Linked DNA regions of Mus musculus. The protein of the gene in region 2 purifies or fractionates together with the protein of the main gene of each other region. This does not show direct contact. Links are inferred from orthologs where the notes say so. Each region holds a gene or a part of one and is shown on either strand. Other genes may lie near its edges. The genes, in order: Rpp40 and Pop7.

Evidence for each region.
Region 1: the proteins of Pop7 (region 2) and Rpp40 purify together in Homo sapiens (co-immunoprecipitation; 4 studies listed by BioGRID and IntAct, with this or other methods). This does not show direct contact. The link is inferred for Mus musculus from reciprocal best matches to the Homo sapiens genes POP7 and RPP40.

Annotation. Positions count from the first base shown.
Region 1 is NC_000079.6:35,903,252-35,907,862, forward strand, and holds the start of Rpp40 (ribonuclease P protein subunit p40), read right to left. Parts: upstream 3,097-4,611; 5' UTR 3,076-3,096; coding exon 2,953-3,075; intron 2,777-2,952; exon of another isoform or gene 2,733-2,776; coding exon of another isoform or gene 2,712-2,732; intron 1,313-2,711; coding exon 1,168-1,312; intron 506-1,167; coding exon 437-505; intron 1-436. UniProt on the Homo sapiens protein: Component of ribonuclease P, a ribonucleoprotein complex that generates mature tRNA molecules by cleaving their 5'-ends. Also a component of the MRP ribonuclease complex, which cleaves pre-rRNA sequences.
Region 2 is NC_000071.6:137,500,862-137,504,162, reverse strand, and holds Pop7 (ribonuclease P protein subunit p20), read left to right. Parts: upstream 1-1,733; 5' UTR 1,734-1,884; intron 1,885-2,083; 5' UTR 2,084-2,093; coding exon 2,094-2,516; 3' UTR 2,517-2,724; downstream 2,725-3,301. UniProt on the Homo sapiens protein: Component of ribonuclease P, a ribonucleoprotein complex that generates mature tRNA molecules by cleaving their 5'-ends. Also a component of the MRP ribonuclease complex, which cleaves pre-rRNA sequences.

The DNA.
Region 1 (4,611 bases), on a different chromosome or scaffold from region 2:
GCGTGGTGGCGCAAGCCTTTAATCCCAGCACTCGGGAGGCAGAGGCAGGCGGATTTCTGAGTTCTAGGCCAGCCTGGTCTATAAAGTGAGTTCCAGGACAGCCAGGGCTATACAGAGAAACCCTGTCACGAAAAAAAACAAAAACAAAAAAATTATTATTTTATTATTTTTATGTATATGGGTGTTTTATCCTCATGTTATGTCTGTGCACATGGATGTGTCTGGTGCCTATGGAGGTCAGAACAGGGCACTGGACTCACTCAAACTGGAGTTACAGATAGCTGTAAGCTACCAAGTGGGACTGAACTTTGGTCTTCTGGAAGAGCAGTCAGTGCTCTTAACTGCTGAGCCATTTCTCTAGCCTACTTTTTTTTTTTTAAGCAGTGCTATTTCTTTTCTAATAAAGAAAGGAAGAAAAAAAAATGAATGCTGTCACCATTTGGTAGGAGAGCAACAGTATTATCCTCATCAATACTTGTATTGTATGTTAATGCAGAGAATGAACCTGTAAGAAAAATCAAGAAAAGTAATTAAGTAACTAAAGTAGCACAACATTTGTTTATGAATGGTTTTCACGTGACAACGAATCTTCCAGGTAGGTAACAGGCAGCATCTACTACAGCTCTAACTCATTCAATAAACCCACTACACCCCAGAGATACACTGGAACATATACATGCAAGGCTCCAGCTAGACCACCCCAGGACTCAGGCCACATTCAGGGGCTTTTTGTGCAAGTTTCCTATCAACAGGTTGAGAATGGGCTCAGAACAGAACCTGTAATCTTGGGGATCCTAGCAGAAAGGTGCACATTAAAGAGGCAAGAGGACAAAACACTGATGCAAGGATCAAAGTTAATATTCAGAAACTATTTGAGAAAGTTAATATTCAAAAGCTACTTAACCTTCATCTAAAGGGATTCCACCTACTTCCCTGAGTTATTGCAAGGGCTAATTAAATTTGGTAAGATATTTAGCTGCCACCTAAAGAGGACACAGGAAAGAAAACGACAATATGGCCGGGTGGAGAAGTGATACACGCAGCTGATCACATGATCTAACTTCCATGGGCCCTTTTAAAGACAAGGGAAGGACCCCAATATTTTGCTGCGATCTTCCGATAGCTCTTCATCTTGTCTTGTTCATATGAGACAGTGTTTCTTCTTACCTTTCTTTACAAAGGTGTTGATGAACTCGTGTGTAATTAATTCATGAAGAGGTAAGTTCTTCACAGAGTAATAGGGTCCAATGTCCATGACCAGGCTTTTTAGCTCTTTTGATAGAAGCCCACATTCAGGAATAAGAAATGAAACCTATTAGAATGTAGAAGAACAAACGAAGTTATATTTTATGAAGATTAACACCATGCTTTTGGAAATGGAATGTCAAAGGTGCTAGTTACTCCTTCACAGGTTTTACTGGGACATAGAAGGGACACGCAAACATGGGCAATGTGATGGTTTGAAGATGCTTGGTCCAGGGAGTGCTATTAGGAGGGATGGCCTTGGTGGAGTAGGTGTGACTTTGTTGGAGGAAGTATGTCACTGTGGGCGTGGGCTTTGAGACCTCATCTAGCTCCCTGGAAGCCAGTCTTCTTCTAGTGTCCTTCAGATGAAGATGTAGAACTCTCAGCTCCCCCTACACCATGCCTGCCTGGACGCTGCCATGCTCCCACCTTGTTGTCCTTATAAGAGTTGCCCTGGTCACTGTTGGAGTGTCTGTTCACAGCAGTAAAACCCTTAGTAAAACACACACACACACACACACACACACACACATACACACACACACACAGCCACCACCACCTACCCCTGAGACAGGGTTTCTCCATGTAGCCCTGGCTGTCCTGGAACTTGCTCTGTTTATCAGGTTAGCCTTGCACTCAGAGATTTACCCACCTCTGCCTGGGTTTAAAGGTGTGCATCACCATCAACCTACTAGGCAACAATTCTATTAATTTCAAGTAAACAGATATCTGACTACTCAAGTTTTTCCTTTCTGCATTTCAATGTGAGGCATGACATTGCAATGGAAGTCTTACTTGAATCTTATTTTTGCATACAAGCAATATATGTTATGTCTTTCACACTTTATAGTCAAGGAAATAGAGTATATATAATTCAACATGCCTTGATTTGCTTATTCTGGAGTCATGAAATCAAAGGAACTCCTCCTGGGATTTAGGGACATTTAATTAGTAAGAAGCTACATAGAAGCAAAAGTGCTCCTGGAAGCTTCCATTTCCTAGACAAACCTAGGTGAGACCAGTTGAGATAAGCGATACATCCCTGACCGCAGGGATGGCCTTTCAACCGAAGAGATGCAAAATCCGCGCGGATTTCAAATGATCCCCAAGTGAACATCTAAAGTCCGTTTCGCAAAGCCCCAACAACCAGCCTTGAGGGACAAGGACGCCAGCTAATCTATCTGAGAAATCCATCAGGCCAATATTTAAGATGTAAAATGCTTAAACCCTTATCATCGTAAGGTAAGTTTATTTGGAGTTCCTCGTTTGTCAAACCGCGTGATGCTTTGGAAAGAGTCACAAGCTGATCCACAGAGATCTGCCCAAACTTAGGGTGTAATTCGGCTACATGTTGTACAGGTCACACTCCGACCGTGCAGGTTACATTCCTAACTCCTCCACTGCCTGCTCGACCCAACACCGAGAGGATTTAATCCTGAACACCGCAGTAACCACGCCAAACTCACAAAAACTCTGCTGTTCCTCATAGGACCGAGCACCGCCCTGTGTTTGGCGCATGCTGGGAATTGTAGTCCTACACAGCGCCAAGAAAAGCAGTTAAGAAACTTGAAGAGACTATAGTTCCCAGCATGCCCGAGGACGATCTCCGCCCACCCTCGCAAGCCGAGGAGGTCTGGCCGGGTGAAACCCGGCGTGGTTCTACCTTAAAGCTCTCCAGCCTAAGAGGGCCGGGTGGACCTGACTCACCCTGTAATTATGATAGTGCGTCTCCACGAGATGCTTATGGCGAGACTTATCGTGGCCGAAGTTGGATTTCTCACAGACCAGTAAGTGCCGAGGCGCCTCTTGCAGCCTGCGCAGCGTGGCCATGTTAAGCAGGAGTCCAGGCGAGCACCGCCTCTTGGCCCGCCTCCCGGCCCGCCCCTCGGCCCGCCCCTCACCCCACCATTCGCCCCTTTCTGACTACACCCCTCCCTCCACCACGCCCTAACCCTTCTTTCTTTCCCTGTCTGTCAGTTCCTGCAGGCACTGGGTCTGAAGGTTCTCAAGAACCTGGCATGGGGCTGGTGAGATGGCTCAGCGGGTAAGAGCATTGACTGCTCTTCCAAAAGTCCTGAGTTCAAATCCCAGCAACCACATGTTGGCTCACAACCATCCGCATCTTAAAAAAGAAAGAAAGAAAGAAAGAAAAAACCTGGCACATCCATTCTATCCCACAGTTTCTCCGTGGAGGAACAGTGCATATACCTGGACAGGACTCAGAGAAGGACTGGACCCTGACACCTTATAAAAAGGAGGAAGATAGGACAGAGGAAAAGCCTAGTATAGTCAGGAAATACATCTGCTTTGCAGCACTGTTTTCCTGACTCCTCATATGGTCTCGTTCCTAATGCTCACCCACCCGCAGGCCCCTAAGTTCCCACTGATCCTTCCCAAAAAGTATAGGAAATTACAGAGGAATATAATATGACATTTCTGCATTTTTACTTCCAACAGAACTTCTTTGCTTTGTTTTTAATTATTTAATTTATTTTTTTCATTTCCAACATTACTATTTTGTGATTTTACTCCAAATCTCAGTTTCTTTGCTGAATTGTACTTCCATGTACACTGTTGCTATCTTCAGACACACCAGAAGAGGGCATTGGATTCTATTATGGATGGTTGTGAGCCACCATGTGGTTGCTAGGAATTGAACTCAGGACCTCTGGAAGAGCAGTCAGTGCTCTTAACCAATGATCCATTTCTCCAGCCCCCATAGCTAATTCTTAAAAGCCATATTGTTGATTTTTCTCATCTATTTTACTCTCTGTGTGTGCACACACATGCGTGCGCACGTGCACGTGTGTGCACAGCAGACTTTCCAGGTCCTTCCTTAGGGAAGATTGAATTAATCTTTTTGCTTCAATCTTTTTTGAGGTCTTAAAGTATTTTTACTAGGAAACTTCTGAAATCACCCAGAATTTTACCTATTTCAGTATCATTGAATCCAGGTGTTAAGTTATTTTGTCTTGAGACAGGGTCTCATTATATATCCTGGCTGGCCTCAGACTCAATATATAGACCAGGCTGGTCTCAAACTCAAAGAGATCTACCTGCCTCTGCCTCCTGAGTGCTGGGATTTAAGATGTGAACCACCACTCTGGGATAATTGATTTTGTTTTTGGAGGACTCCTGTTGCTGTGTTTTTCATTCATGCTTTTGTTTCTGTGTGTGGTGTTGACCTGTGTTGATTTGGAGATGTTTTTCGCTGTTGTTCTTACTGAGCACCCTACTCTCCGAGACTCATTCCCCGGTGTTACTCATAAAGGAGACAACACATTGCTGAGACAGTAACAAAATGGAAGATATAGAAATACACCCAAAGTTACTGAGGTTCAGCAATATATTACTAATAACCATGAA
Region 2 (3,301 bases):
GGAGGCAGTTGAGCCAACCTTCAAGGGCACGCTCACTGAGTTTGATGCCAGCCTGGCTGTGAGGCCCTTTCTCCAATGGCTTGGTGTACTTGAGTGTTTCTGAGTTCTCTATTTTATTGATTTTTGTATATATACACCTGCCAACAGCACACTTTTCTTAATGACCGTATTTGCATGGTAAGTCTTAAGGGGCTGGCAAGATGGATCAGTGTGTGAGCTGTGAAGTCCTTGCTGTGTGAGCCTTTGCTCCTCAGAACCAATATAAAGGTTGAGGAATCGACTTCACAACGTGTATGGTCCCTGCACTGCATACACACAATAGCCATAGCTTTAAAAGTAAATATATATTTTTAAATTTTTATATATGTGCCTGTGTGTGTCTGGGCACACACACAGGCCAGAGGAGGGTGTCAGGTCTCCTGAAGCTGGACTTAACATTCAACATGGGTACCGGGAACAAACTCGAGTCCTCTTCAAGAGAGTCATCTTGAAGAGCAGAAAGTGCTCGTAATTGCTAAGACAGTTGAGTCCAACAACGTTACAAAATCATTTTATTCAGTCTATTTATTTGCCATAAGTTTTAGGATAAGTTTATTAAAATGGTGCAGTCGTGCACACCTAAAACATTAGCGCTGGGGAGGCCAAGGCAGGAGCATGAGTTCTAGGCTAGCCTGAGCTACATCGTTAAACCCTATCCCCACCCCCACCCCCCAAAAAAAGATTTTTTGGTTTATATGTGCAACTCTTCCTGAGACTCCTCTAAATGTTCATTAAATATATAGATCAGCTCGGAGTAAACTGAGGTCTAGCATGTCAAACCTTCCATTTTAACCTAAATCCTAGAAGTTAGGGATGTATCTCAGTTGAGTGAGTCCCTGCGGTTATAACCCTGGCACTCACAAGGTGGAGGCAGGGGGATCAGAAGTTCAAGGTTGGCTATATAGCAGAGTGCACACTTCCCTTTCCAGCCTTCAGTCAGATTCAGCCTAGGTAAGTGGCCTGGAGATGTATCTAGGACGAAGCCCCAAAGCAGGCTTCACGCCTTTCTGCAGGGAACGGTCCAAATGCTTTACCATTGCGGGCAGAGATCCAGATTCCCACTAACTTTCAGGGGCTAGGAACCCAAGCACTGCAGTTCCTGTCCCTTCCGCCAGGGAGCGGCCGGTCATGGCTTGCCGGTCGCGGGAAGCAGCTCGAGTGCGGCGGGACAGTTAAGAGGTGTGGCGGGAAGCTGCCAACACTTGGCACCTCATGTGGGTCCCTCGCAGAGGGAGGAGTCCATCATGGTGGACACGATCCCTTCGATTTCTCGGCTTCCGGGGCTGTCAGGACGTCGGGCGGGAGGTCAGCTGTCAACTCCACTGCTCAGAAGTGGGATGGACGTGGACTACAGGCTTCCGGCCCCTGCGATCCCAGCTCCAATGCTGACCCGGGGTCGCTGCCCGAACCCCCTTTTCCAGCCCTGCTTCCCGCCTCGATCCTCGAGTCCCGCCCTGCCCGGGGAGGGGAGAACTGGGCGATCCACGCCACGCCCCTCTTGGGCCCGCCTCTGTCAATTAGCCCCGCCTCTGCTAGCTAGTCCCGCCCTTCGAAGCGCTCACTAGAACCCTGCGAACCCTCAAGTCTCGCGAGCCTTAAATCGCCTTGCGCACGCGCACGAGGAAAGGAGGCGGAGAGTACGGAAGCCTAGAAGGCCATAAGCTTATCGGTTCCGGCTTGGAGCGGGGACGCGCGTGCGCAGTGCGTAGCCCTTGCTGGCGAGCCTGCCCGGCGTTCCTCTTCCGATCCCTTCTCCGTTCTTCTTCTGCATATCGAGGCCAGCGACGTCCACTTGGATCGGTCGGCGAGGCTCACGCGAGTGAAGGGCACTGAGGAAGGAAGAAGGTAGGCGTGGACACGCCGGGAATGGGAACCACGTGATGAATGAATTAAAACTGGGAGTGGAGAAAGCGGAAGTGGAAGGGCTTGAGACACTGGGAAGGAAGAGGGTGTTGAGGGCGCCCCCTTCTGGTTGCACCCTTAGAAAGCCGGGCAAGAAAGGATTCTCCTGACCTCCCTGAATCTTGTTCCTTCTCCATGCCAGGACTCAGAGCATGGCAGAAAACAGAGAACCCCGCTGTGCCATCGAGGCTGAGCTGGACCCTGTGGAGTACACCCTTCGGAAGCGACTTCCCCACCGCTTGCCCCGGAGGCCCAACGACATTTATGTCAACATGAAGACTGACTTTAAGGCCCAGCTAGCTCGCTGCCAAAAGCTCCTGGACGGAGGCACTAGGGGGCAGAACGCATGCACTGAAATCTACATTCATGGCTTGGGCCTGGCCATCAACCGGGCCATCAACATCGCCCTGCAGCTGCAGGCGGGCAGCTTTGGGTCCCTACAGGTGGCCGCCAATACCTCCACCGTGGAGCTGGTGGACGAGTTGGAGCCAGAGACTGACTCTCGGGAGCCCCTGACGAGGGTCAGGAACAACTCAGCCATCCACATCCGAGTCTTCAGGGTCACGCCCAAGTAACTGAAGGGAGGCTGACTTGGACCCACCAAGGCTTCTGAGCACACACATCCATGTGGCCGAGGTTTCTAGTGCTTCATAGTGGCTCTTGTTCTGAGTTCTGTCCTGAGCCTCTTGTTACCTTGTTACTTCAGCCTAGAGGACTGAGAATGGAGAGCCCGAGAAGTGAATCTTCCTTGTCCTGTATAATAAATTATTAAGTTGTGTTGGTGCCGGGCTTCGAATGGCCTCTTTTTCCTAGTGTAATTCTGTGTGTACTTGAATAGGAAAATGGTAGGAAAGAGCAAGTATATAGGCCACAGTAAGGCATCTCACATTGAACCACAGTATGACGGGAATCAAATTTGTTGAGTGTAACACGGAAGCTTAATTGTTACAGTGTGCTCTCAGGAAGATGAGAGAGTAGACTCATCGACTGAGCTAGCTACAGCTGGGATGTATCCGGCTCTCATGGTTCCCAGGCTTGGGAAAAGAGAAGGTTTAAAGGTGAGGGAAGTTCTTTGTGGATATAACTCAGCAAAGGAATCGTGACTAGTGAGTGTTACCTAGTTGCCTAGCATAGGATTAGGCCAGAGGTTCAATTCCTAGTAACCACAAGAATTATGACGGGGGAGGGATGGGGAGATGGCTCAATAGGCAAGGCACTTGTCAAATAATCATGAATATTTGAATCAGCAGAACTCATTTTTCTGCGGAGCATTGCAGCTCTTGAATCCAATTCCCATGCTTCTACAGTGAGATAGGTATCAGAGATGGGCGAATCCTCGCTAGCTTGTGGGCTAGCTGCT